2 linked regions of the Elephas maximus indicus genome follow. The protein of the gene in region 1 interacts with the protein of each later gene in a pairwise test. Links are inferred from orthologs where the notes say so. Each region holds a gene or a part of one and is shown on either strand. Other genes may lie near its edges.

The links.
Region 2: the proteins of CDK6 (region 1) and CDKN2B interact in binary tests that used the Homo sapiens proteins (3 or more experiments, as listed by UniProt). The link is inferred for Elephas maximus indicus from reciprocal best matches to the Homo sapiens genes CDK6 and CDKN2B.

What each region holds. Positions count from the first base shown.
Region 1 is NC_064826.1:62,914,438-62,929,806, reverse strand, and holds the start of CDK6 (cyclin-dependent kinase 6), read left to right. Parts: upstream 1-8,350; 5' UTR 8,351-8,464; intron 8,465-9,726; exon of another isoform or gene 9,727-9,939; intron 9,940-10,233; exon of another isoform or gene 10,234-11,081; intron 11,082-11,260; 5' UTR 11,261-11,613; coding exon 11,614-11,846; intron 11,847-15,369. UniProt on the Homo sapiens protein: Serine/threonine-protein kinase involved in the control of the cell cycle and differentiation; promotes G1/S transition. Phosphorylates pRB/RB1 and NPM1.
Region 2 is NC_064827.1:31,877,237-31,892,264, reverse strand, and holds the start of CDKN2B (cyclin-dependent kinase 4 inhibitor B), read left to right. Parts: upstream 1-7,742; 5' UTR 7,743-7,888; coding exon 7,889-8,044; intron 8,045-10,525; coding exon 10,526-10,786; 3' UTR 10,787-15,028. UniProt on the Homo sapiens protein: Interacts strongly with CDK4 and CDK6. Potent inhibitor. Potential effector of TGF-beta induced cell cycle arrest.

The sequences.
Region 1 (15,369 bases):
AGTACTGACATGTTGCACAGTGATAATTATAGAGTAGTAGAACCCATGAAAACAGAATGTTCCTGTGTTGGTTAATGTTTATGTGTCAATTTGGTTAGGCCATGATTCTCAGTATTATGTAATTATCCCTCATTTTGTGATCTTATGTAAGGGGAGTTTCCTTGGAGGTGTGGCCTGCATCCAATATATATGGATAGTCTGGCAAAGCACCCTCTCTCTCAATCCTGCATCTGACTCATCATCATCTGACTTCTAGTTCATGGGATGTGAGCCAGCAGCCTGCCACCTGACCTGCAGATTTTGGGATTTGCCAGCTCCTGCAGTTCTGTCAACCAGCAGCCTGCCATCTGACCTGTTGATTTGAGGTTCATCAGCCCCTGCAACCACGTGAGTCAGGAGAAACCTTCAGCCTGATGCCTCACCCATGGGTTTGGGACTTGCCAGCCTCCACAACTGTGTGAGCCATTTCCTTGAGGTAAGTCTCTCTACATATATTTGTGTACATACAGTATTTATATACATTCGGTTCACTGGTTATGATTCTCTAGAGAATCCAGCCTAAGACGTTCGGTACTGAGAGTGGTTCTAGAGGAACAAAATTATAAGGATGAGTTTTTTTAATTGGTTCTCAAGTCTGGCTCATCTTAAAGGCACTGATGACTCTGCCTCCAGTAGTAAAGAGGGCATTGCTAGTCCGTGGAGTGAGGTGGCAATAGAAATAGGCAAAATATCACCACCACTAGATCAAATATTTGTGAAAGACAAGGTTCGAGGTGATTACATATTTGATACTTTTCTATAATTTTGTTAGGAAGAGCATAAAGAAGCTGGTTGGTTGGTCTTACTTTTGCTAGACAAAGTGATGAAAGAAAAGGATAAGCTCAAATCTTCAGAGTCACAGCTCAAGTACTGCATACAAGACCTGAAAGTTGCCACTTGTGACCTGAAAGGAAGCCTTATTCTTGCAGTAACAGAGCTGATATTCCCAAAAGTCAAACCCAGAGTCCTATCATAAGTGTGGCTGAATTATAATGCCAACTGAATTCCCAAACTCAAATGTGTCTGAAATTAAAGTGAGGGCATTGATTAGGAAGAAATGGGATCCTGAAACTTGGGATGGGGACATATGGGCAGATAATCAAGAAGCTGGGGACATTGAGTACCTAAATTCCATTGAATCACTCCTGCCAACAGAACCAGTCCTTTTATTCCCATCTGAAGAGATCGCTCCATCTTTGTATGCTAAGCCACCCTCTACAGTAAAACCATTAGATTTGACAGTGGGAACTTCCTTAAGTGAATTAAGACACCTGACTACAATGGCACTGATTGGATCCTGGGGTGGTAGGAGCCAAGTGGCAGCACTCAATTGACAAAGACAAGGTGGGCATGGTTACCATAATGGACGGCAGTACTCAAGAATACTCTGACTCGCATGGACTTACAGCTTTGGCTACTTAGTCATGGTGTCGCTAAGAGTTATATAGATGGGGAATCTACTATTTACTTGATCTGTGTAAGCAGAAGAATCCTAGGTCATGTGAATGGCAGTCAAACTTGAATTGCCAGAATAGAGAGTCATAGTCCCGCAATCAATTTCCAGACATGAGTGAGTTTAAAGACCCACAACCCCTTGAATGAAGGCGAGGAGGGTTTCATTGAGGAAGGACCCTACTACATGTCAAAAATTTGTACTGTTAATATTTCTCTCAGCTTTCCCCAAAGGGATTCATGACCTTTCATGAGAGTGACTATTTACCTGGAAAAAGGAAATAATTGGACTTTTCAGAGATTACTGGGTACTGGCTCTGAACTGACACTAATTCCATAAAACATCATTATGGCCCACCAGTCAGAGTAGGGACATATGGAGGACAGGTTATTAATGGAGTCTTAACTCAGGTCCATTTCAGAGTGGGTCTAGTGGGTCCCCAAACCCATCCTGTAGTGATTTCACCAGTTCCAGAATGCATAACTGGAATGGACATACTCAGCAACTAGCAGAACCCACACGTTGAATTCCTGACATGTGGAGTAAGGGTGGGAAAAACTAAGTGGAAGTCATTAGAACTGCCCCCTATACAGGAAAATAGTAAACTAAAAGGAATACTGTATTCCTGGAGGGATTTCAGAAATTACAGCCATCATCAAGGACTTGAAGGATGCAGGGGTGGTGATTCCCACCACATCCCCATTCAACTCTCTTATTTGACCTGTGCAAGAAACAGATCAATCTTGGAGAATGACAGTGGATTATCATAAACTTAACCGCTTGGTGATTCCAATTGCAGCTGCTATTCCAGGTATGGTTTCATTGCTTGAGCAAATTAATACATTTCCTGGTACTTAGTATGCAGTTATTGATCTGGCTAATGTATTTTTCTCCATACCTGTTTTGAAGGACTACCAGAAGCAGTTTGCCTTCAGCTGGCAAGGCCAGCAATACACCTTCACTGTCCTACCTCAGTGGTATATCAACTCTCCAGTCCTATGTCATAGTTTAACCCACTGGGAACTTGATCATCTTGGCCTTCAACAAGATGTCACACTGGTCCATTACATTGAAAGGTTATGCTGATTGGACCTAGTAAGGAGGCAGTATCAATGACTCTAGACATATTGGTAAGACATTTGCATGCTAGAAGGTGGGAAATTAACCTGACAAAAATTCAGGCACCTTCCAACTTAGTGAAATTTCTAGAGGTCCAGGGGTGTGGGGTATGTTGAGATATTTCTTCAAAGTGAACAACAAGTTGTTGCATCTGGCCCCTTCTACAACTAAAAAAGGAGGCACAATGCCTGGTGGGCCTCTTGGATTTTGGAGGCAACACATCCCTCATTTGGGTGTGTTATTCTGTTCCGTTTATCACAAAAAGCTGCTACCTTTGAGTAGGGTACCGAACAAGACTCTGCAACAGGTTCAGGTTTCTGGGCAAGCCACTTTGCCACTTGGCCCATATGATCTAGCTGATCCAATTGTGCTTGAAGTGTCAGTGGCTGATAGATATGCAATTCCGAGTCTTTGGCAGGCCCCTACTGGTGAATCACAGCGCACAACCGTAGCATTTTGGAGCGAAGCCCTGCCACCCTCTGCAGATAGCTACTTTCCTTTTGAGAAACAGCTATTGGCTTATTACTGGGCCTTAGTAGAGACTCAATGCCTAACTATGGACCACCAAGTCACCATGTGGCCTGAGCTGCCCCTCATGAACTGGGTGTTGTCTGACCCACAGAGTCACAAGGTCAGACATGCACGACAGCACTCCATCATTAGATGGAAGTGGTATATACAAGATAGGGCTTGAGCAGAACCTGAATGAATACTCAAGTAAATTGCATGAGGAAGTGGCCCAAATGCCCACGGTCTCCACTTTCTTCACATTACCTTCCTTCTCCCAGTCTGCACCTATGGTCTCCTGGGGAGTTCCTTATGATCAGTGGACTGAGGAAGAGAAAGTTTGTGCCTGGTTTATAGATACTTCTGCACGATATGCAGGCACCACTGGAAAATGGACAGCAGCAGCACTGCAGCCCCTTTCTGGGAGTTCCTTGAAGGACAGTGGTGAAGGAAAATTCTCCCAACGGGCAGAAGAACATCAGGCATTGCACCCGATTGTTCGCTTTGCTTGGAAGGAGAAATGGTCGAGTGTGCGATTCTATGAGCCGTGCCCAATGGTTTGGCTAGATGGTCAGAGACTTGGAAGGAACACGATTGGAAAATTGGTGACAAGGAGGTATAGGGAAGAGGCATGTGGATAGATTTCTCTGAATGGGCCAAAGAAGTGAAGATATTTGGGTCACATGTGAATGCTCACCAAAGGATGACCTCAGCAGAGGAGAATTTTAACAATCAAGTGAATAGGATGACCTGTTCTATGGAAACCAGTCATCTTCTTTCCCCAGCCACTCCTGTCATGGCTCATAAACAAAGTGACCATGGTGGCAGGGATGGAGGTTATGCATGGGCTCAGCAACATGAACTTCCACTCACCAAGGCTAACTTGGCTACAGCCACTGCTTAGTTCTTGCCCATTCTGCCAGCAGCAGAGACCAACGCTGAGTCCCTGATATGGCACCATTCCTCGGGGCAATCGGCCAGCAACCTGGTGCCAGGTTGATTACATTGGATCACTTCCATCATGGAAAGGGCAGCATTTTGTTCTTACTGGTATAGACACTCTGGATACAGATTTGCCTTCCCTGTATCCCATGCTTCTGCCAAAACTACCATCCGTGGACTTACAGAATGCTTTATCCACCGTCATGGTATCCCACACAGCATTGCCTCAGACCAAGGGACTCATTTCACAGAAAATGAAGTATGGCAATGGGCCCATGGTCATGGAATTCACTGGTCTTACCATCTTTCCCATCAATCTGAAGCAGCTGGCTGGATAGAGTGATGGAATGGCCTTCTAAAGACACAATTACTGTGCCAACTAGGTGGCAATACCTTGCAGGGTTGGGGCAATGATCTCCAGGAGGGTGTATCTGCTCTAAACCAGCATCCACTATATGGTGCTATTTCTCCCATAGCCAGGATTCACGGGTCCAAGAATCAAGAGGTGGAAACGGAGTGGCACCGTTCACTATTATCCCTAGTGACTCACTTGCAATACTTTCGCTTCCTCTCCCTGCGACCCTATACTCTGCTGGTCTAGAATTCTTAATTTCAAAGGGAAGAATGCTTCCACCTGGAGACACAACACCGATTCCATTGAACTGGAAGTTAAGAACGCCACTTGGCCACTTAGGGCTCCTTATGCCTCTGGATCGACAGGCAAAGAAGGGAGCTACCATGTTGGCTGGTGTGGCTGATTCTGATTATCAAGGGGAAATTGGATTGATACTACATAATGGAGGTAAAAAGAGTATGTCTGGCACACAGGAAATTCCTTAGGGGGTCTCTTAGTAATACCATACCCTGTGATTAAAGTTAATGGAAAACTATAGTAACCCAATTACAACATGACTACTAATGGCCCAGACCCTTCAGGAACGTTATCAAAACAATAAACAGGAGACCTTTATAGACAAAAATGTATACATTTATTTTACACAGACCTTCATTTAAAATTACTATGTAGTATATGATACAGTACCTAAGTTCCAAGTTTCTGGAATTAAAAAAAAAAAAATTAAACAGCCAATATAAATCAGAAAATATTTAGAATTAGATGTACCCTAATACAATAACTAGAGCCCTGGTGGAGCAGGGGTTAAGAGCTATGGCTGCTAACCAAAAGGTCGGCAGTTCGAATCTACCAGCTGCTCTTTGGAAACCCTATGGGGCAGTTCTACTCTGTCCTACAGGGTCGCTAGGAGTTGGACTTGACAGCAGTCGGTTTGGTTTTTGGAATGTAATTACTAATCTAAGTAAATTAGTAATTTCTTAAGCAATATTATCAATTATAGAACAGAGTTTTAAAATTTATTTTTATTTCAGTAAAAACAAGAATTTAAAGGTGCTTGATTTAAAAGTGTTCACACATGGAATACATCCCTTATGTGACACTAAGAAACTTTTCAGTGTAAATTACAGTACCATATTTGGAGATACATCCATGAATTCTAATTTTTTAAAAATCCTTAAAATGATTTGCAGCTTTAGAAAATCTGATATGTAGAGTGAAAACATCGCTGCAAGCAATTATTCTTGAATGCTATGTATTCATTCATAGAAGATTCCTAAAGAAGAGAGTAGGAATTTGGTTCGCAGTTTGTAAACCTTGCACAAATTTTGTTAAGATAACCTGTTACCCACAGAGGAAGCCACCCATAAACAAAAACGATCTTGTTGTGTACTAATTTTATACAATCCATTGTAAAACCTCCTTGAGTCTGAAGCTTTAACCAACTGGAATTTAACGTGAACCATAACTAGAGAGAATGAACAATGATAAACTAACATAAAAGATAAGCAATATCAGAAAAAGCAGATGATACAAAGACAATCAACACTAGGTATTAACATGTATAGTCAAATCAAATTTGATTGTTTTTTACATTGCCCAAGTGTAGTGAATACATCAATTTTTATTTACCTAAAATATAACCATTTTTATTTACCTAACCTGTTACTTGATATTATAATATAGAATCAATTTTATGAAGGCAAAAATCTGATTTTCTGTGAAATTAGCAGCATAGTTTAACTCAAAGGTCAAAAGATATTTAGGAGATTTCCAATTCAAATAGAATTTTGCAGGATTTAAATTGTTTCACAAAGCACTGAAATTCTAGTTGCCTAAATCAAGAAATTTCCAATCCAGCTATGATTTTTGACAAATTCAGTAATTGAAAATGCAACACTCTGTAGAAAAGACTCTTTTCTGTTAATTTTAAATATATTTACAGCTTAGGACTTTTTAAAAAACAAATTATTTACTCAAATAAGTTCTTGCCATCATGTGCTGCTTTGTATGATTATTTATTGACAATTATTTCTGGGTTATATAAACATCTGAGTTATCAGCAAGTAAATCTTGTTTTAAAAAGTGTTGAAAAGTGTGGGCAATTATCAAAATGGATTCTATTTGTGTCTCTGGTTTAAATTCTAATTAGTGATTAAGAGTGATTGAATATTTTATATAAATACAAAATCAAATTTGCTTTCTTAAATGTAGAAGGTGTATGTGATTACAAACATCTTTATGAATACAAATTTTGTTTAGAAATTGGATTTTATTTTGGAGGATATGTTCCTGAACACAAAATGTATTTTAAGAAGTATCTTAGGCTTAAAGAAACACAACCATTGATTTTCATTATTTAAAAAAATTATAATGTATTGCAAAATATTTGCTAGTGGAAACACAACAACTTTCATTTACCTAACCTATTACTTCATTTTTTTATTACTTCATATTGTAGTATAGCATCAATTTTATGAAGGCAAAAATTTGATCTTCTGTGAAATTAGAAATTAGCAGCATAGTTTAATTCAAAAGCCAAAAGATATTTAGAGGTAGCATTTCTAATTCAAACAGAGTTTTGCAGGATTTAATTTTTTTTCACAAAACACTGAAATAGCTTTTTTTTTTTAAGCTTTGCTTTAAGATGTTTAAAAAAGTTTCAAGTATTGTACAGATACGGAATTTTGGAGAGCACTGAATTCTTTCCCAAAAGACAGCTATTTTAAGTTGTAAATTTTAAGCTAGTGTAAGTTTTCTTTTATTCCCCTGTAGAAGTCTTGCAGACCTTCCAACCCCAATCTCATTTTCACCTGAAATAATTGTATTCAGGTTTTCTCAGCAGGTAAAGTACACATTCTTCGTTTCTCACAAGGTTTCAAATTTCAGAATTCCAATAATGCATTTAAACTGAGAACCCACCGAATCACGTTCTCTCCTCTTTGTGTGTGTGTGGGGGGGGGGGGGGTGCCCATTATCTTGCAATTCTGTTATTTGCACTAAATTTTAGTATTTTTAGCTCCCGAGAAATATCTTATTGAACCCTCAGCAGTTGCTAACCACTTAATAATTGTGAACTAGCCAGCCCTTTCAAGTAGATCGTTAACCACAAGAGTGCCTGACAATTTCCAAACCATATCCTCTGTCCAAAAGGAAAAGATAAGGCTTTGTGAGGCCGAAAGGAAGCGAAGGAAAACAAAACAAATGTGGCTCAGGCTGAAAGTGAAAAGTGCTTGGACAGATTAGTATTTTCTTTTCTGCAAGGCGTCCTGCCAAAATTTTTTTTTTTAATAGAGAAGAGTTATTTTTTGGTCTGATTTTTTAGTTTCTTGGAAAGTGTTGATATTTACCACTCCCTCCAGTCCCTCATAATTACTGTTGTTTGTTTTGTGTTTTTCCCATCCGTCCACATCACTGACTGAAGATACCCCCGCCTCACCCTGTCAAAACCCTAACTCTGCACCGCCCTGGGTTTGCAATCTCCGGCGACTCCCGACGACACTCTTTCCTTCTCACGCCTCGCATTTAGGTCGCGAGATCCCCCACTACAGTTTCAGTGAAAGCCAGAAATTTTCATTTAAACTCCCCCTTATTGACCCCCACTCCGAGCTGAGGGCTGGGGAGCGGGGAGGCTCCTAGTACGGCCGGTTCTCCGCCGCCTCCCCTCCCTCCGGAAGGCTTTAATTTGCACACTTGCTTGCCACTGTGCCGCGAGACCCCGGCCCCGCCGCCGGGTGGGTCCTCGGCAGGGGTGGCCTACCGGGTCTCCGTCCCCGCCCCCGCCCCGCGGCCGCCCCCGCTGCCTCCCGGGTTCGGGCCGCGATCCCCGGCCAGAGCCCCACGGCCCCCGTCCACCCCCGGCGAGCGAAGCAGGCGGCGCCCTCCGCCGTCCCTCCGCCCTCCGCCGCTGTGCCCACCCCCTAGCCGGAGAAAGTACTGGTAACTCCTTCCTCTGCGCCGCATTACCTGCTCTGCACGGCCCTGGGTAAGTGCCGAGGTCTGACAGGCACTCGAAGCCCCTTCGGGTGGCCGGACGCGGCTAGGTCCCTCAGGTGAGGAGCTGTGCGCTCGGGTGGGTGGGTTTCTTGGTGGGGAGTCCCGAGGAGATTTGGAGGCTTGTACAGGGTCGAAGGCGGGGTGGGGGTAGGGGTAAGAGTGGGGGGGCTGTGTGTCCGCCGACTTGGCTTTGGTTAACTCCTTCCGAACCAAGGCGGGGTAGGTTACGGGGGCCAGTTTTGGGCAGCTACAGGAGTCCCTCCCAATCTGGCGTGACGTGAACATCCCACCCGAGGGACACCCCCTAACAGCGAGATCCCGTCTCCACTTATCCGTCTGCACAAACACCCACATGTACACACACTCCTTATCCAGCTTCTCAAAACGGAACTGCACTCGGACACTCGTATAATCCATATTTAGTGTTTCAAATGCACTGCCTCTGGGGACTCCATGCGGGAGAATGTGTTTCCCTGCCCCATTTTATTTCTCCACGAAAGTGCCTCCAGCTCGCTGAGGTGTGGGTGTGGGCTCCACCTTCCCCACCACGAGATCTATGTTAACGAAGGCTTCCTGCTGACAACCCCTGCGGACGTGTTATGCACAACTAGAGTGCACGCAGTCGGCCAGTGCCCAGGCTTGGAGCCCTTGCGAGGTCACCGTTTTGCTTTAGTGTCCACGTTTACTTTTATCATTTAAAAAAACCGCAGCTAAAACGCACGCCCCGCAGTTAGAAGCTCCTAGGTCCCGCAGCGCGCCCGTCTGTGTGCACGTGGGCGCATCTGCGTGTGCGCACAAGCCGCATTCGCGGTCCCCGGTGCGGCCTCTTGTCGCTGCGCTGGTGGCGACCCTTGCAGTGCTTGGCAGGCTTCGGGAGAGGCACATGAAGGATTTCATTGAGTGTGAAGACAGAGAGCAGAGACAGAAAGCAGAAGGAGGCGGCTGCAGCCTTTGTAGTCGCAGAGGAATGCGGAAATGTTGAAGCACTATGTCAAACTTTTTTGAAATGGGGTCAAGTCACATTCAGCCAGCGTGGGAAAGCAACAACAGCAAAAAAAAAAAAAAAAAAGTGGAGGGGGGGAAGGCACTGCTGCTCCTGTTTCTCTCCGCCGGAGCCAGCCGTCCGGGGAGCGAGGGGGGGAGAGCCAAGGCGAGGGCTGCGGGCGGTGCGGGGCCAGGCGGGGCGGCGGGCGCAGTTCCCTGCGGGGGTGGGACGTCCCTCGACGCTTCCTTCGCCGCTGAGCCCCACGCTGGACTCGGGGGAGGAGGGACGCGGGAGGGCGGACTGGGAGGCCAGCGGCGGCTCCCCCGCTACCTGTGTGGCCCTCGCCTTCGCCCAGACCCCCAGCCAGGCTCTGGGGGCTTGTTCCTCGGCTCCCCAGGAATCGTCTTCACCTTTTAAGAAGAGCTCTGGATGGCCGGAGTGTGAGGGGCTCTGTCCTCGTCGCGGTCCCATCCATCCGCACATCGTGGGGTTGCGCCGTTTGTTTAGTTCCTGGCGGAAGGCGAGCGGGCCAGCGGTTGCGGGAAGGTAATTCCGAGGTGTCCTGGGAATTCCAGACACGCGGCTGGCGTAGCGAATGTCCGACTGAGGCTGCGGCGGCGGTGGGGCGGGAGGTCCCCTCGGCCCTGAAATGCAGCTGAATGGGGAGGGAAATTGGGGGATCCCCCCGCCCGGCGCTTTGTTGTGCCGAGGGCTCCGGGGGACGTCTGGCCGCAGACAGGACCGGGCCTCAACCCGAAGGGGACTGGCGCAGCTGCCTCCATTGCCTACATCGGGGACAGTCCTTGGAGTGGGAAAAAGTCTGCGTGTCTCGATCCCTAGGGCGCATCCCTTTCTCTCTCACCCCGGGAGGCGCAACATATATATACTCTTCTTCTTCCCTTTTGGGAGGTTGGATTTTGCTCAGGTTGAAATCAGATGAGAACTTCAGGGTGAGTCACAGTCATGCTACATTTTTCCTGAAGTTATTTTTTAAGGAGGCGAAAGTGTCTCACACCCTTGGGGTCCCGTGGGTGACTGCCTTCACTAGGGCCCCTCGTTCGCCCACCCCTTGAATAGCGGAAGCCCAAGTCGTCCTGGACCAGATGGATTGTCCTCCCTGGGTCTACACCAGGGAGGTCCTCTGAGGCGAAGGAAGAATTTCGTTTTCCAACCGAGACTCCTTTACCCCAAAAGACTATTTGTGTGTGCGAGTCGTTTTTAAATGTCTCCTCGTAGAAAAACTGAAAGCAGAAAGAAAGGAAGCAATTTCCGAGCAGATGTCTGACCACCCCTTCTCGCACACTCCTAGCATCGGGTTACAGGGTCTTGGGAGCCCCCTCCAACATTCTGCGGCCCCACACGGGTGGACCCCCAGTCTCGCCACACTGGCTTGTGCACGACCCCTGAACGCCCCCCGGGACCCCTGCACCCCCATACCCCCTTGTCCCTGCACGTCCAGGCCCCGGCGGAGTGGGGATGGTAGTAGTGCAACAGAATGATAAAGGGATAAGTATTAAGCCGTGACATTGGCGTGCCCGGCGCCTCCCCTCCCCCGCGCTCCCGGCACACTCTGGGCTGCTCGGCACGCCCCCTCCCGTTCCACTGCGCCCCGCGCGGCGCGCTCATCCCCGAGGGGCCCCTGCAACCTCTCCGCGCGAAGACCGCTCCAGCTCTACAGGGAAAGAAAAGTAACTTCGCTTTTCTCGGAGGAACCAGGAAGGATTGAGAGGCCTGGGAGAGGGCAGGAGAGCGCGGCGGGTAGCGATGGGGGCTTCTTGAAGAAGGAGGGGAGACTGCCGGAACCCCGAGGAAGACGACTGGGATGTCTGATTGTATTTTCTTCTTGTCCTACCGCCTCCTCTTTTAGGTGAAGCGATTTTGCCCAGTGAAGCGCTCGGGCAGAGACTATGTAATCGCCTCGGTGTCTGAGCAGAGGACTCCGCTTCGGAGAGGGAAGAGGAGGGATCGGCTCGCTCCTCCGGCGGCGGCGACTCAGCAGGCGGGGTTTCGCAGCGGCGGTACCAGGGCTGCGCCCGCCCGAGGGGAGGTCGCTCCATCCAGCCCCGGCGGCCGCGAGAGCCAGAGCCCCGGAGCCGGCGGGGGCGAGGGAGAGCGAGACCAAGCGCCGGAGCTCGGGAGGAGGCGAGCGGCGGCCGCAAGCGAGCCGAGCGCGCTCTCTGCCCGCTCCAGCGGCGCTGCGCCGGGCGGTGTTAGGACGGTATGGAGAAGGACGGCCTGAGTCGCGCGGACCAGCAATACGAGTGCGTGGCGGAGATCGGGGAGGGCGCCTATGGGAAGGTGTTCAAGGCCCGGGACTTGAAGAACGGAGGCCGTTTCGTGGCGCTGAAGCGTGTGCGGGTGCAGACTGGCGAAGAGGGCATGCCGCTCTCCACCATCCGCGAGGTGGCGGTGCTGAGGCACCTGGAGACCTTCGAGCACCCCAACGTGGTCAGGTGAGCGAGGGAGCGGTGCCCGAGCTGTCCGGGCCGCGCGCCCTGGCAGGGTCGGGGGTCCTCAGGTCCAGAGGGTGAGGGCGGGGGTAGTCGCTAGGCAGGCCCGGAGCGACCCGTGGATCTTACAGAGTGCGAGTAAGTTTTGTCAACAGAGCCCTGAGCCAGCGTCGGTGACCTTGCCAGACAGCGAGCAGAAACACCAGTCAGAAAACGTGACCTGCGCAGGCTTCCCTACTGGTGTGCAAGTTATTTGTTTTCTCCCTGTCTGCCCTGAAGGGGGGAGTCCGGGGAAATTGAGTGGCCCTTAGGGCCAGAACAGACCAAGCTGAAACACACACGCCCTCCCGCCCCCCTCATTGTTCCCGCCCCCCCGTCACTGGGGAATTTTTGAGAGACTGAGAGGTAGCAGTATGCGGTGTGGTAATTAGTGGGAAGACAACTTCACTAGTCTGGTATAAATAAGGTATAAAAAATGTAGAAACTCTGAGGAATTTTTTGCTAATTACACCCCAGAGTTAAAGCAAAATTGCTGTGGAGTCAATTTTGACTCTTGGCGACCCCATGTGTTGTACTTTGTTTATTAAAAGATGCGTGCGATAAGAGTGATTCGTGATAGTACAAGGAGCATCAGTGCTAATGCCCAGCTGCTAACACTGTCCTTTAAAACTTTTCTTCCGAAAATGTTACCTACTTGTCATTACCCAGTGCTATTACTTTATATCTCTGGGTTGCCATAGCCCTTAGATTTCTTCAGAGCGTTAGACTTGAGTCCAAGATGTGGTATCCTTAGATTCTGCCTTTTGCCGTTGCTTTTCCTGGACTGGTTCTGCGATTGGTTGGGAGAAAGCAGTCTTTAAAGCTTCTCCTCTTTGGTAACCGATATTAAAGGAAAGTGTGTGTGATTTAGGATAATGGTGTTTTCTTAGTGATACTGGAATTTCCCCATTGCGTGGTTGACGTTGTGTCGTGTGTCATCCCTTTTTTTTCCCCTTGTTTTATACAAAGACATACAGTTTTATGTAGCAGAGGAATACACAAAAACTTCTATAAATTGGGTTGTAATTTTACCTTTCTCAACTGTTAAGCTACTATGTTGGAAAAAGAAGGTCTTGTGGGGTTGGGGGGAGGTCTTCTCCCTGTTTTCTCATCCATCTGGGGATTTTGTTCAACAGATATGTGCCTACTGTGTGCACTGTGGATGAAATTATGTAAATAAGCACAGCTAAATATTTTTATAAAGAGTCAAACAGTTTAACATTAGTCATCAAAGTGGAGAGACTCAAGACTGACCTTTGAAATACGAAGTCCTCTGCAGACTCAGGGAGCACAAGTGTGTACAGAGTCTTCCTGGGAGGTTTTAACTTGTCTCCTCCTATCCAAACGGCGTGATTTGTGTGGTGCTTTGTTCCCAGGACAGTTAGACACAGCCTAGAAGGCACCCAAGGAGTCATAAATACATAGATAAGGTAGTATGTGGTTATAAAGATACACTCCAGTGTACTTCCACTTTAGCTAGTGAAGGAAGGAGAGACAAGAGATAATAGGATTGGGAGAATGGGTATTTTAGGAAGATGAGATTATATATAAAGCAAAAGATTACTTTGGCGGGGGCATGTGTTTTCTTTGCTGCAAAACAGCAAAAACCCTACTTGGAGGTCTTTGTGAGATTGGAGAGAAAAGGGAAGGGCACATTTAGCCCCTCCTCCCACAACCTAGTTATCTTCCCAAAGTAATTACCTAAGCCCTTCCCAATGGATGAATTCCACCACTAGAATTTTAAGAAAAATGTTCTTATTTTGTAATCTATGGAGTATTCAATTAAAAGTGATATAATGCTATAGTTTACAAAGCACAGGTATTTTTGTAACAGAAGAAGGGTGAGTTGTTTTTGCCATTGTACTGGTAGATTTTGGATGATCTCTTTTACAGATTTATCCACTTGAGATTGGTGTGTTTTTGAGATTTGTCCTAGTTGACTCCTGACTTGTATTTAGCACCGTGAAATTTCAGGAAGATATGCTTGTGAATTGAAGACAAAGGCATCATTTTCTAGAGTTATTTTTGTATGTTACGTGGTGACGAAGACACTTACCTCAGAGTTGTCTGAAGATAAAGTGAGACAGTGTATATGAAAGCACTTCGTAAATTAAAAGTACAAGCAGTCTTAAACTTCAGTGCAAGAAAAGGCTTGAAGCCTTTTCAGTGATTTAAAAGCTGACGTGCAGCAAGTAAAGGTGATTGTGATGAAGAATTTGTTGTAAGAAGAGGGGTTGGTTCAGTCATTTCAAAGTGAGGGCAAATTTACATAACGTTAAAGAGCAAGTATGAGCTGTCTGTTGTCCATGAGTTGGGTAAATTGGATGTAACCTGTAACCTGGGGACGGCCTTACTTCAAACTTTATATTCAGGCAGATTAGTGAGACCCTTGCCCTGGAGCAATTTTCCAGTAAGGCTTCAGTTCACCTGAATTTTTCACAGAACAACTCACAGACAAACCCAGACATTGAAGCCTCCAGAACCAAGAGGCTCTGTGAGTGTAATTAGCTTTAGTTAGAAAAGACTATTAGTTCTATGTCATGCAGTTCAGTGACACTCGAGGATATTATCAATGATGATGTCACTTTCATGAGCTCACAGATGTCCATTCCCTTTTTGTTTCCTTCCTGTTCTCTTTTACCTCTGTCTTGGAGCAGCCGTTGGCCTCGGTGACTTGCTTGGCCAGACTAGGAATTCTGGGTTTTAGACGTTGCTGATATTTGTTGTAGCAGGGTCAGGAAATTAAAGACAGGTGACAGCAATTCTTTCCAAGAGTTGTCAAAATTGGGCCCCCAAACCTGTGATTTATTGTTGCCCCACAGGATCAGTTTTAGAGTCCTGTTCTTTGAAAAAGGTTCTCAAAAGGGCAGATGCCTTTATAAATACTTTTAGGTTATAAGTAAATGATCATAATTATAGGCTCTCCCCACAGATAGTTAAGCCCCTAAGTATGAAGGGAGCATAATAAACATACTAGTTTTTTTTTTTTTCAAAAGTTTAAGATTTAATTTTGATGGATTTGCCAGAAAAGCTTACTTGTTATTGCTGGCACTGGCATTGCCTACAGGCGCAGGGATGATGGCTTGAAGTTCTTGCTTACCTGCTCTTGATGTATCCCAGGCCTGGGCTTGATCAGTATCTGGGATGTAAATTCACTGTTATTTTACAGTTGGTAATCCCAAAGCCTGGAGCCTTTGCCAGAATCAGACCTCAGTAGGAACCTATATGGGGGGCTCTTCAGTCCTCAAATGAATCCTGTTTTATTTACATCCTAAACTAAAAACAAAATAGATTAAATAACATGTGTTATCAGTAGCCTGTTTATTAAACAAGTATTTATTGTGGGCCTACTTTGCCAGACACTGCTAAAAGCTGAGGGTTCAGCAGTGAACAAGTCGGAAAAAGTCTCTTCCCTTTGTGGATGGAACTCAGCTTGTAATAGCAGTTTTTTTTGTTGTTGTTGTTTGCTTTGTTTTGTTTTCTGTTT
Region 2 (15,028 bases), on another chromosome or scaffold:
AAAAGTATACAACCCTGACGCACACCTTTCCTGATTTAAACAATGCAGTATCCGCCTGTTCTGTCCCAGCAACTGCATCTTGCTCTATGTTCAGGTTCTGCACGAGCACAATTAAGTTCTTTGGAATTCCCATTCTTCGAAATGTTACCCATAATTTGTTGTGATCCACACAGTCAAATGCCTTTGCACAGTCAACAAAACACAGGTAAACATCTTTCTGGTATTCTCTGCTTTCAGCCAAGATCCATCGGACTTCAGTAATGATATCCCTCATTCCATGTCCTCTTCTGAAGCTAGCCTGAATTTCTGACAGTTTCCTGTCGATATACTGCTGCAACCATTTTTTAATTGTCTTCAGCAAAATTTTACTTGCATGTGATATTAATGATATTGCTCAATAATTTCCACATTCCGTGGATCACCTTTCTTTGAAATGGGCCTATATGTGGATTTCTTCCAGTCAGTTGGCCAGGTATCTCTCTTCCAAATTTCTTGGCATAGACAAGTGAGTGCTTCCAGCATTGCATCTGTTTGTTGAAACATCTCAATTAGTATTCTGTCAATTCCTGGAGCCTTGTTTTTCACCAATGCCTTCAGTGCAGCTTGGACTTTGTCCTTCAGTACCATGGTTCTTGATCATATGCTACCTCCTAAAATAGTTAAATGTTGATCAGTTCTTTTTGGTACAGTGACTATGCGTATACCTTCCATCTTCTTTTGATGCTTCCTGTGTCATTCAATTTTTCCCTATACCAAACCAAAAACCAAACCTGTTGCTGCAATGTTGCAACTCAAGGCTTGAATTTTTATTTCGGTTCTTTCAGATTGAGAAATGCCAAGTCTGAAAACATAATAATCAACACAGCAGCAATATATTCCCCAGCACACAGATTGTGATCTCGAAATACCATTTCCCACCAAAAATGAACCATCACTCCTATGGGATATTAGTAATACCACGTGTTGTGGTGGTTAAGTGCTCAGCTGCCGACCAAAAGGTCAGCAGTTCAAAACCACCAGTTGCTCCAAAGGAGAAAGATGTGGCAGTCTGCTTCCGTAAAGATTTACAGCCTTGGAAACATTATGGGACAGTTCTATTCTGCCCTATAGGGTTGCTTTGAGTTGGAATTGACTTGAGTGCACACAACAATAACATTGTACAGGAAATATAGAAGATAAAACTAGAATATATTATCATCCCAGAAAGCAAAGATTCTGTCAACGACCACTGCAATCATGTCAAAAAGACTCAGGGACCAAATTGAAGAGGCTACCACTGGTCAAAGATAGGGCATGAGCATCAATAGAGAATAATAACTATAGCAGAGTTAAACACTCCAAGAATGTTTAAATTTATAAGTTCATAATAATAATTTAAAATCCTCAGTCATTTTTGAAGGATGCTATGGATGCAACTCATTACTTTGAAAACTGGTAAATAAATACAAAATATTTATCCTGTCTTTTGTTTATGAACCTGAGGGCAACCAAGTAGTTAATGAAGAAAACATTCCTTCATAGAAATAAATACTTCAGCTGATAAATGAAAAAAAATGATAGAATTAATATACTATCATTCAGCAACCTTTAAGGAAATAACGGATCTAAGAAATAATTATCAATGGCTGCTAAAATCACAAAAAGAAAGATAACCAAGTTATGTGCATCTTGATGAAGTACACAATACCATATATGAAGTATTTCTGCAAAAATATCCAACCTGAGTCACATCCAGGCTCTATATATAAATCATGAATTACAAGAAATACAGACAACAGAGAAATACATTAAATATCCTCATGAACAAGCATTCAGCAAAATCGAGACTTCAGAAAACACAGGGCAACCTATGCTGTTTCGTCAACAAATAAATGTCAAGGAAAAAAAAAAGAAAGAGGAACGTATAGATTAAAATAGGCATAAGAGACGTATCAACCAATTTCAATGTATTGACTTTATTTCATTCTTATTTTCAGAAATGAAAAAGTGATATGTGTAAAAACTGGAGACACTAAAATGATGAATTATGCCCAAAATTCAATTAAACTTAAGAAACACCTATGGGAAGATGGAAAGGGTAATAACTGTGGATCTTGGACCAATAACCCTAAACTGATGAAGTGAAGAGAATCAAATTTCCTGGTGGGAAGATGAGCCATATGCAGTTTGAAGAAGTCCCAAAATAATTCTGATTTTCCTTCTCTCCCCATTTAGAAACACTGTCTTAGACCCAATCATATACAGAAAGGCAAATAAATGAGGACATGGTTATGTCACTACCTCTCTTGGCCACTCGGCTCATTTTATTCATGCTTTTATTGTGAGTTCATATACAGTTTCACCAACTAGGAAAGAAACATCATTTTCACTGGTGATCTGCATTATATACAAGATTAGAGTAGATTCTTTTCATTCCCTTCCATTTACCTGCAAATTTCTATGCCAATTTATCTTTTCACTCACTTTTCCTCTTTTCTTGCTTATAAATTATCCACCCTATTAAAAAGCATGACCGTCACAATTTCAAGTTTCAGCTACCCACTATGTTCTCATCCACATGATCTCTTAAACATGTTTAAAGCATTAACAACAGGTTGTGTTTCATCCTAGACAGCTGGGTATCATGGAGAGGTAAAAGGTTTCATTATCTCATTCTATCGTCCAAGACAAATGTGCTATTGTGTTGTGTGTCAAATGACATCTTTGAAGTCTATTAAAGGTGTGCTGTGAATTAAGCCATCTGGAAAACACAGTATAGACTGAAAAATAATTAATTATAAGCCAGTTTATTTTTTTTCCCCCAGTTAAGCCTACTAGGACAGCTACTAAAAACCCTAAAGGGTAGAGGCTCTGAAGCCACAGGTTAGACCCTATCTCCAACGAAGATTAGCCAGTGCACTAGGTTACTTAACTTCTCTAATCTTTTTGCTCTCTCTGTAAAATTGAGATGCTAAAACATACCTCTTAAGGATTTTACAAAAGTTAAATGAAATAACAATTATAGAGTACTTGGAACAGAGTTGCTATGAGTTGGAACCAACTCAATGGCAACGCCATTGTTTTTTGCTCTGTTGTTTATGGTTTTGGAATGGAGTAAACAACTGACAAGTAGATAAGTGTGATTTCCCATTTTTTTCTTTTAAATATACCCATACCCATTGCTGTTGAGTCAATTCCGACTCACAGCGACCCTGTAGGACAGGGTAGAACAGCCCCATTGGGTTTCCAAGAGTGGCTGGTGGATTCCATCTGCTGATCTTTTGGTTACCAGCTGAACGCTTAACCACTGCGTCACCAGGGCTCCCTTTTAAATATAGAGAATATTTAATATTCTTTCCAGTGGCACAATGGTTAAGATCTATGGCTGCTAACCAAAAGGTCGGCAGTTGGAATCCACCAGCCACTCCTTGGAAACCTCATGGGGCAGTTTTACTCTGTCCTTTAAGAAACTTTCCCTGCACTTCCAACTTAGGCTAAGTTCCCCTCTTGCTTACTCTTAAAGTACCCTGTAGATACATCACTCAGCAAAGTTATATTAAATTAAAACCATTTATTAGATTTGAATGCCACTAGAGAGAGCTTCTTAAAAGCTAGGACCTGTAACATATTCAACTGTGCACTCCTAAAATATGGGATTGCTGAATTTAGGATAGCTGGAAGCCCTGGTGGCATAGTGGTTAAGTGCTATGGCTGCTAACCGAAAGGTCAGCAGTTCAAATCCACCAGGTGCTCATTGGAAACTCTATGGGGCAGTTCTACGCTGTCCTACAGGGTTGCTATGAGTCCTAATCTACTGGACGGCAACGCGTTATAGAGTAGCAATAAGTTGGAATCTAATTCACCGCAACTTTTTTTTTGTTGTTCTTTAAGTAACAGGGGTTTTTTTTCTTTTTTTTTTTTTAACGTAGAGAATATTAGATATTCTCATAATATTTGGAAACCAGGTCGAGCAAGTTGATTTTGCAAAAAAGTCCATTGAGCTTCCGCGTGGTTTCCTTTGAATTTCAAGGGAGATCAAGATGGAAGCTTCCTCTAAAAATTCCAGTCGGGAGCAAGTTAGGACCCCAGACACGCTTAAATAGGGAAGCGCTGTCCGTGGTGCTAGTAACCGCGCACGCCCATGCCCAAGGAATGGTCTTTCGACTGAAGTCGCTTTTCGAAGCGCACATCCCTGCCTCTTAGAAGATTCTCAGTTATTCTGCTTATTGGCTTCTTCCTGTCTTACTCACCACTTTTCACCTATGTCCTCTTCAGCAGCAACCACAAAAAAGGAAAAACTATCGCTTCAGTTTCCTAATCAAATAGTTTCTGTATTTCAGACACTATGGCCCATGCCTACCACTTAAGACAATCGCTCGTAAATTGGCTCAGGGTATCATTTTCTAATCTTTTCAAGCGTCAGGGAAATAGAAAGCTGAAAGCCAGGACACAGGAACTCGTTAATTTATGACCCATTCTTTAATACTCTTTTCAGTTGACTCCTCCTTTAAGAAACTTTCCCTACACTTCCAACTTAGGCTAAGTTCCCCTCTTGCTTACTCTTAAAGTACCCTGTAGATACATCTCTGAGAAAAGTTGTATTAAATTTAAACCATTTATGAGCTTTGAATGCCACCAGAGAGAGCTTCTTAAAAGCTAGGACCTGTAATATAGTCAACTGTGCACTCCTAAAATATGGGACATGCTGAATTTAGTTTTGCTGAACTAAATTCAATTCCTGAATTCAATAGAAAGATGGTCCCAACAACACTCCTTTAAAGACCTTCCTAGTTGTATTTGGCTGTGCACGAAATCTCATCGTCAATATGCTCTTTTGATTAAGATGCTCCAGACTGAGCCCATTTGCCACCATATCCACCAACATCAGTCTGGTGACTCATCCCCTCACAGCAACTGGCAATGAGTTAATGCCACCCATTTCAACGACTCTATATCTCCACTGCCCCTCATCTTTCCTCTTCCTTTTCCATTCTGCCTAGACACTTGAAATCTCCAAAACACCGAGTAAGAACTGAGTTCAAAGACTACCATGATTTTCATCCAGAAGCAGACTTCTATTCCTCTGGCCAGACAAAGGAATGGAGTGACCATTAGGAAATAAAAGGAATTTTTCCAGATAAAAATGGAAGGAAGTTTGTGGGAATGCAAAATGTTATAGCCACTTTCAAAGACAGTTTGGCAGTTTCTTACAAAGCTAAACATAGTCTTATCATATGATGAAGCAATTGCAAATTTAAACCCAAATGAGTTTAAAACTTACATCAACACAAAAACTTGCACAAGAATGTTATTGCATCTTTATAACTGCCAAAAATTGGAAGCAACCGAGATGCCCTTTAATGGTTGGCTAAAGAAACCATGGTACAACCACGCAATAGAATATTATTCAGTGATTTAAAAGAAATGAGCTATCAAGCCATGAAAAGGCATAGAGGAACCCCAAATGCATATTGCTAAGTGAAAGAAGTCAGTCTGAAAAGGCTACATACTGTATGATTCCAACTATATGAAATGTTGGAAAAGGCAAAACTATGAAGACAGTAAAAAGATCAGCAGTTGTCAGAGGCTTGGGAGGAGGGGAAGAGAGATGAATAGGTGGAGCACAGGGTATTTTTCAAGTGGTGGAACTATTTGACATGATACTGCAACAGTGGATACCTGATATTATGCATTTATCAATATAACGAGCAAACCCTAATGTAAACTAATAATAGTGTACCAATATTGGTTCATCAATTGTAACAAATGCACCACACCAAAGCGAGATGTTAACAGGGGAAACTGGGAATGGGGTGAGGGAGTGTATGAAAACTCTGTACCTTCTGTGTAATTTTTCTATAAACCTAAAACTTTTCTGAAGAAAAAAGTCTATTAAATGCTTTTAAAAAAAAAGAATGTCAAATAAGAGTGAAAGATTGAGGAATTCAGGAACTAAACACTAAGAAATGGGGGTGGGTGGAGAGAGAAAACTTGTTACAGTAGCTGCTTTCTTCCCTACCCTGTCTAGGTGGATTTCAGCCCTGTGGAGGCTCAGTCAGTGACTCTTCAGCCCCAGCCTCCACTTCCATGGACCCCACTGCCTTTAAAGAAAAGCACTCTTCCTCATTCTACAGAGGATAAGTGGGAGAGGGAGTCAGAGCTAAGATACACCAGAAGAAACACGTTAAGTCTCTCATACATGACTAAGCAATTGGCCTCCCTTTAAGACTTTGTCTTCCTCAGCACCCTGAGTCAAAATGATTTTAGAAATAAGTGTCGGGCTTTAAGAGAAGCCCACTCTTATGCAGTTCCTCACCAGTTTTCAGGCAGCAGATACATAACTTCTGCTTCTTTTCCTATTTCAATGTAGCACCAGCTGCAGTTTTTTAAAATCTTTAAAGCAATGAATATATTCACTGAAAGTCATCTAGGAAGATTAAGAAGAAAAAAACAAGCACTTGGTCTTTAAATCTTCAGAAGGGGATATAATGACAGGTTCAGCCTGTTTAATGACAGGCCCAGCGCCACACCTTTGTTTTTATTATGTTTCATTATTACTGCATAAATTTCCTTTATTACTCATAATAAATAAAAACCAAATACCAAGGTGGGTTAAACAGGTAAGAGTGCAAACAAGGGTGTACTTTACAAATATAATGAAAATATGATCTCTGATTCCTTATTTTTAACATTTTTCATATATCTTTCATGTGCCAGGTTGCTACCCTCAGTCTATTTGTTGTTGTTTTGTTTGGGGGTGGTGGAGGAAGGCCTGGCGATCTGCTTCTTGTAAACCATGGAGCAATTTCACTCTCTAATACATGAGGTAGCCATGAGCCTGAAACGACTCCACAGTAACGGGTTTGGGTTTTTGTTTTGTTTTAAATCCATGATTAAAACAAAAGAGAAAAGCACAGCAAAACAAGATTCTCGAGATTTTTCAGTATTTCTGGTTGACTGATTCTAATAGGACGGCACACCCAAAAGAAAACTGCTAAGATGCAAGATGTGAAAATTGTGAAGTCAAGTACCGCCCGGGGATGAATTTAACCTGCATGACAGGTGCAGAGCTGTCACTTTCAGACATCTTAAAAGAGACGGAGTTATTTTAAAGGCATTTCTCTCTGCCGCCCGATAACATAAATCTAATCAGGAAATGTCTCCAGAGTGAAACCAGCTGGTCCGGGGCTGAGAGGAATAGAAGTCCTCTGCTCCGCCTGCTGGGGATTTGGAGCTAAATGCAGTGGGTCAGCATTTCCAGAAACTTAGCGTCCCGGATCTGCTGGACACTCAGCCAGCAGCGCTTCCGGCGTTCCCGGGCGGCTTGCCCCGCCAGCCTCTGCGCATGCGTCTCAACGCCGACTGGGGCGGGCCGCCCACCCCCACCCCACCCCCACCCCCACTCCCATCCCGTGGGCTGTGACGTTAGGCTGGCCTCCGGGCGTCCACCGAGGGACGGGTCCTGCTGGCCAGCCCGACAGGGGGCGGGGCCTAAGGGGGTGGGGCGAGCCCGGCCCGCGGCCCAGCTGGGAACTGAATTGACTCCAGGGCGGCTTCCCACTCCGGAGAGCGAGGCCCGGCGGTGCGGAGGCTGCGGCACGCACGCACTGCGGCCGGAGCCGCTTTGCGTCCAGCGGCGGCCACTCAAGGCGCCGTTTCCCGGCAGCGGGCTGGGCGTGTTCGCTGCCTCTCGAGCGCTTGGAAAAGCCAAAAGCTAGCCCCCAGCCGTTCGGCCATTATACGCGCCCCCAAGCCGCACGAGGACAGCGGTAGGGGACTGACGCTAACTGAGCTCTCCCAGGGAAGGGAAAGGGCGCCGGGCGGGGTGAGGAGGGAGGTAGGGAGGAGGATCGCGAAGTTCACGGCCAGCGGTGGACTACCCCGGCCTCGCGCGTCTGGGGGTGTCGGAATGCGCGAGGAGGACAAGGGCATGCTCGGCAGTGGCAGTGGCGATGGGGGCCTGGCCAGCGCCGCGGCGCGGGGGCAAGTGGAGACGGTGCGGCAGCTCCTGGAAGCCGGCGCGGATCCCAACCGAGTCAATCGCTTCGGGAGGCGCCCGATCCAGGTACCTGGGGCCCCGGGTCCTGGCCGGCAGGGGGCGCGCGAGCGCGGCCTCCGTGGGTCGGGGGCTGAGACCGAGACCGAGACCGTAACCGACGTAGACGTGTGCAGGAGCCTTTTCCTGGAGGTGTGGGGCCCCGCCGGAAAGCAGGTTTTTACACAGCAAAAATCCTAAAGAAAGAAATTGAAAAACTTAGTGCTTCAGTTTGGTTTTCTTTTCAATGATGGAAAAAACATCCACAATATTTCCTGAGCCCTCTCGTGATCAGAGATGGAATACATTCAACTGGGAAGGAGAGGGGGAGAAGTGGGATATTTGGGGAGGAGGACTGTTTTATCTGTTGTCTACTCTCAACGATAAAGATAAATAAATTACAAATTCCACAATCTGGGTTGGATTTAAGGAATTCTTCTCCAAAGTGATAGCATTGGGGGGGGGAAATGCACTGTAAATTTTTAAGCCTCTATATGAAATCTTTCATTTTTCTCTTTCCTCATAGAGGCAAGTTGAACGCAAAGGAATGAGATAGGATTCCTCAACCACAGTACTTAATTTCTTATATTAGCAACGTCTTTTGAGTGTCACATAAGAGGGGAAAAAAATGTTCCCATAGATTTTTTGTTATCATACAGAATTCTTGGATTATAAAAGCATTTCTGCAGCAACTGTTGGGTCCTTTTTCAATGGCAAAGGGTCTTCATAAATAATTAGCCTCTTAATTATTAAAATACATTTATTCAATATGTTAAACCATTAATTTCGCTTTAATTAGCCCATCCATTGCCGTGGAGTCGGTTCTGACTCATAGCGACCCTATGGGACGCAGGAGAATTGCCCCATAGGGGTTCCAAGGTCGTGATCTTTACTGGAGCAGGCTGCCGCATCTTCGTCCAGAGGAGCGGCTGTGTGTTCGAACTGCTCTTTCAGGTAGCCACGGAGCGCTTAATGACTGCGCGGTCAGGGCTCTTTTAGCTTTAATTATTTTAAATTCCATTAAAATCTAAATTAATCCCTTTGCGCTTTACTGTTGACTGCTGTGGCTCAATATTCAGTACTCACCTCACCATTACCTTCCAGAACAAGCTATTAAGAAACCTGGTCAATAATGTACACATTTAAGAAAACAGGTGTTCATTCCTTTTGAATACATAGCAATTCTTAGAAAATTGGTATAACAAATGAGGGATACAGGGAACAAAAATATTGCAAAGTGCTCTTTAAAGACTTCATGTTTTGTTTTTCTCTAGTTTTAATTCACCATCTTCTGAGATTAAAAATCATTTTTCCTCTTTATATATAAAAACCCCTTTACATCACCTGATATTCATAAAACACAAAATTAGAGGTATACTGCCTTTCACTCAGAAACCCTGGCGGGTAGCGGTTAAGAGCTACCGCTGCTAACCAGAAGGTTGGTAGTTTGAATTCGCCAGGCTCTCCTTGGAAACCTTGGTTTGGTCTTTCAATCACGTGGTACATTTTAAAGCCTATAAACCCACAAGGAAAAAGAAAACTTCATTTTGGACATTTATCAAAAATCATTTTTATAGTTCACTTAAAAGTTCTTGAATGTGTGTGCACAAATGGATGCTACAGAATTACTCCTCCAAGCATTTTTTCTAAGTTACGCTTTGTTCTGATTTGACTGCTAATATTCAAGCTTTTTATACAAGAAAATATTTACTATTTAACATTATAAAATCCTAGCCAAATTGTACAGTATAGTGTTTGCTTTACATATTATATTAAATATGGTACACACTAAATATTAAAAATGTTGAACTCTATTAAAAATCATTTATTTTCATGGTCTTGTAAAACTATAAATGACTTAGTTTTTCCTCTCGAACTCCAGCTTTGGCCCCAATTATGGGACTATATAATCCGTTTATGAGCACAGACATACATGAAATAAGGCAGAAGCCTTCCACAGATTTGCAACGAGAACCAAACAATGTAAACCTCTGTAAACTTAGTTTACTTCTAGTATTACCCCAGCTTCTGAAAAATATCAGTTGACTGCCTAACAAATATTTTTAGCCCTGCATTATGGGAAAGGAGGAGAGCAAGGGAAATAACTAGACTTTAAAAGCCAGTTAAACAACTCCATCCCTAAATTGTATAACAAAATAGATTTCCTTGTTCCAGTGGAAATCAAGTTGTTCCCCCCCCCCACACACACACACAACAACGATAAACACTTTGTCATCGGCTCGCTCTTGTCTCCGCACGGTTGGATAACACGGAATTCAATTTGAGCGAAGAAATGAGTATGACTGGCGGGAGAGGGGGTAATTGCAATTTAAGAGTATCCAGACACCTGAAGCTCGTAAAAAAAAAAAAAAAAGCTCCTCTATATTGGGTGACTACTTCATAAATATGTATTTCTTTAAACTAGCCTCATCCACGCCGCCGGGGATCTCGCTCCCAAGCCTGCAAATCGGTGACCCTCCTGTCGCCCTGACCGCTCTGCTCTCCCCGCAGGTCATGATGATGGGCAGCGCCCGTGTGGCGGAGCTGCTGCTGCTCCACGGCGCTGAGCCCAACTGCGCAGACCCCGCCACCCTCACCCGACCGGTGCACGACGCCGCGCGGGAGGGCTTCCTGGACACGCTGATGGTGCTGCAACGTGCCGGGGCGCGGCTGGACGTGCGCGACGCCTGGGGCCGCCTGCCCGTGGACCTGGCTGAGGAGCGGGGTCACCGCGACGTCGCCCTGTACCTGCGTGCGGCCGCGGGGGACTGATGGCGGGCGCATCCAGCCGCCCACGACTTTTCTCCCCCATTTCCCACCCCACCTAGTTCAATGACCATTGCAAACGTGGAGCGGCGGAGATCCTGCACGCCTTCCTGAGCCGCCGACTCCGCTGAGGGAGGAGGAGCAAGCCCGGAATAAAATTCATTTGTGCTTTTTGCTGGATCCGGCCTTAGGCTCTCACCGTGAAGCCACATGCAGGAAGGTGGGGCCCATGGGTTGATTTCCAGAGAGATTTAGGGGTGGGATGTGGAGTGCGCCGGTGTCGTTCACTTTTTGGAGTTGCCTGGCGGAAACTGGCGTGCGAAGAAGTCTGCAAACCATCCTGGCGCCTGCGAACCTGCACACAGATGACGCTGGGGAGAAGTGGGAGGCGGATGACTGGCTTTTGGGTGTGGGGTGGTCGGTGTTTTGTCCCACAGACAGCGAAGAACCGCAGTCTGAACCCCGCTGCGCGCCAAAGGCCCTGGGGCTACGAAGGAAAATCTAAAGACTGAGGCCCAGACAACTATGAGAGTCGTGTGGGCAGCAGTGAGCAACCAACCCTTTACTCGCTGTGCGGTGTGCGGTAAGTCAAGGGTGAAACGATGCCTTCTGGAAGCTTGATGCCTTCTGGAAGCTCGGGAAACTGGCACCCAGCCCCACGAAATAGTGGAGGGGGAATAGAAGACGTGGAAGCGATGGCGGATTTGCCGGCAAACTCTAAAATCCCTGGGTCACCTTGATGCAGAGCCACGCTCCAAAAGGTGCTGGCTCTTGCTCGTATTCCGTCCTGGAGCGCTTCCCAGGGCATTCCAGAGGCGCCGGAGTCACAGTGCGCAGAACCAAGTGGGAGGTGCTAAGGAGAGTAACTGTAGCGGTTTGCTTCATCTACATACGGAAATCCCCCTGTAAATTGCCGCTTGGAAAGATTTCCTAATATTTTGTACTTCTGAGTTTTTCTTCAGTGACAGTTTTATTTAATGGGGAGACCTGAAATAACAAAGTAGCCCTTAGTAACGCGGTGAAAAAGAACTACAGCTCTTAAAAGAAGCAAAGGCAAGGCACAGTGGCAAACTTAGGGTCGAACGCCTCCATTACTTTCACTTTTAACCTATTTCTTCTGTTAAATTCTCTGACCGTTTCCTCTACCCAGGTGTCTCAAGGGCCAAACTATTAAATATTCCAAATGTCTTTCAGAAAATCAGGGCACTTATCCAGTAAAATATCTCGAGATATTTCCCAAAGGGTTGCTGAAAGAAATTGAGTATAAAACTGCTGAAATATATCGTGATGGCTTCTGGAATTTTTTCTTTATATCTGCTGAACAACTAAAGGTGCACTGCTTTGAGGTTTAATTTCCTGTATTGTTTGACTCATTATGTATTGGAACAACAGAGATTTCACGGCTTTAATGAAGACTAAACAACAGAAATTGAACTCCAAGATGCAGATTCAAATTTTGGGTTAAAATGTTCATGGATTTACCACTACTGAGAAATGTTGAAGACTCAAAGGGGTTCACTTCTCTCATTCTCTGTAATAATTGTTAAGTGATGCCAACAACAGTTTATAAGAACTGCTTCTATAAGCCATAGAGAGTTATTATATATTATGATAGGTACATACATTGTGCTTTTTTAAGTATCCAGTTTACCATATATAAATTGGAAAGAGAGGAAACAGACCAAAGAAATTATTTTAGAGTAGAGACTTATAAGACTTATTTGTGTATCTGAGCTAAATATACACATCTTTACTTCTCCATCAATTCTTTATCCCCAAAAGTAATATATTACTGGGGAAGCTTAGTTAGGAATCTGAGCATATCTAATTGGGAAAACAAATAAACATTGACAAACAACTTGTGCCACGGATACTTTATATGTGTTTACTTAACACTTAAAACAAATGTGAGAGATACGTATTGTTTCCCAGATGAGGATAATGAGGCCAAGAAGTCACAAGAGTCCACGGTTGCACAAAGTCAGTGTGTCTGGCTCCAGAGATATGTTATCCCCCTCCCCCCGTCAGCATTAACCTGTTGTCCAAAATTATTAATGATATATATGAAGTTGAAAAAAAATTTTTTTTCAACTAATTTATTTTTAAAGAGCAGAAACAAAAATGGTTCTCCCTTATAAATTCCTGAGGGTTTTCTTTTCTTTCTATAACATCTAGTACAGTATCATAAATATAAGCGTATTGTTTCAAATTTATTTTAAACTGTCAACAATATGAAAAACAGCCCCCAAAAGAAACACCTAAAAAAAATGCATTTGGAACAAAGATAATGAAACCCCCATTTCTAAATTAAGACACAAGGGCAGAAAATACAATTTCTGTTACCACTTAAGCATTGAATTATCGGCTACAAGAACAGCAATTTTTAGGTTTATATTGTTTTACAATTACTAAGAAACATTCTGCATAAAATTAGTCAGCTGACGATTTCAAGTCCATTTAATTTATAAAATCCCTGATGATTTTGTGCTCTACTTCTTTAGTTCCAGTTGTTCAATTATGCTATGTGCGTGAGACTGGGTAATGAAGAATGATAATCACTTGAGACATATGAAACATGTGATTTCATTCCTAATTTAAAGAAATTGTGGTATCTTTCCTAATGACAACAGGGAATTAAGGGGAATAAGGTATGGTTGTGGATCCCAAAGTACCATATTATAATTTTTATGATTTTTTTAATAAAGCAAAACCAAAACATTATTGGAAATCAGTTACCACCTGGTGGTCCTGAAACAGTGATTTATTAATGCCATGTAAAAGTTAATACAGTTTTCAAAGCCACCTGGAAGATGGGTTTGGCTGGTATGTTTTATCAACAGCACAAAGAGGTGTAAATTTAAGGATTTCATTTTAAAGGACACATGCAAAATATATATGCCTACTATATACATGAGCCCTGCTTTTGGTTCCATTGTGAAATTGCAGAAAATTGAATATGCATGTTAATTTTTATACCTAAGTTTGAAACATTACCAAGGTTTGTAAAAATTCTACCACCTGACCTTCATTCCAAGATCTGAAAGTAAATTCAGGAATTCAATATTCTGTTCACTCGGCCTCATTTTTACCTTTCCTTTTTTCAGCTGACTGGACAGATTAAAAAAAAAAAAACTATGATTTACTTTAAAAGCAAAATCCATTTAAAATGTCCTGTGCTGTAATGGCTAAAATTAGCAGTTTCAAAAATAATAATAATAATAAGGAATAAAACATTCAAAAGGAAAACTCAAGATTTACAAAACTCCAAACAGCTTTGGGAAAGTGTGTACATAGAAAGGATTTATTTGCATACTAAAGCAAACACAACATGGTGTCCTATGGTGTCCAGAAACAAATAATTCATCTTATGAAGCTAGGTAACTAACTTTCAGCAAACAAATACAACTAATTTCACTTGTACTTACGCTGAGATTCTATACTGCCTTTCCTTTGTGGCAAAATACCAGAAAACAATGTAAGTTAATATGTAATATTCAACAGAGATTTTTTCACCACCACCCGCTTTCTAGCTGCCCCTCAATTATTTTTTTAAAAAGCCACACTCATTTTCCTTTTATGGTTTACAGACACTGATTATTTTTATGATAAAATATAATTTTTACAGTATTTAAGACATTGCCACTCAACCAAAAGAAAAGCAAGTAGAATTAGTGAACTTCAAAAATAACAGAAATCATCTAGGAAGTACTCTTGTGGGCTGCCCTCTGAGACAAATGCAAAAACCAAGGCTGTCTAAAATACAGTGAGGTTGACTTTCATGTTTATGTCAGCAGCTAATCATAACCAAATTCTGAAATGCTTACTAGGTTTTCATTATTGAAGAAACTAACAACTTATTTGGTGAAAACTTAAAGAATAATTCTTAGGTTGGTGTATTTCACAGTGTTCAATTTCTAAGTTACAAATATAAATATGTTTCTCACATATATGAGAAAATTAGAAAAAATTTAAATACTTGAAGGAACAACCATTGAATCTCAGTATTTTCAATACAGTCTCCTGCTCTGTTTATAATCCTAGGGAAGAAAGACAAAATGGAGCAGAGACAGTAGAACCTGACTGGAAGATAGAAGATCTGGGTTCCCATATTCATTCTTCTGCTAATTCAATATATGACCACCTACTTCAATTAGCCTCAATTTTCCTCAAAGATGGGGGTTGAACTAGATTATTTCCAAATTCCCTTCCATCGCCAAAGTATTATATATACCTTTATGATTTTGTTCC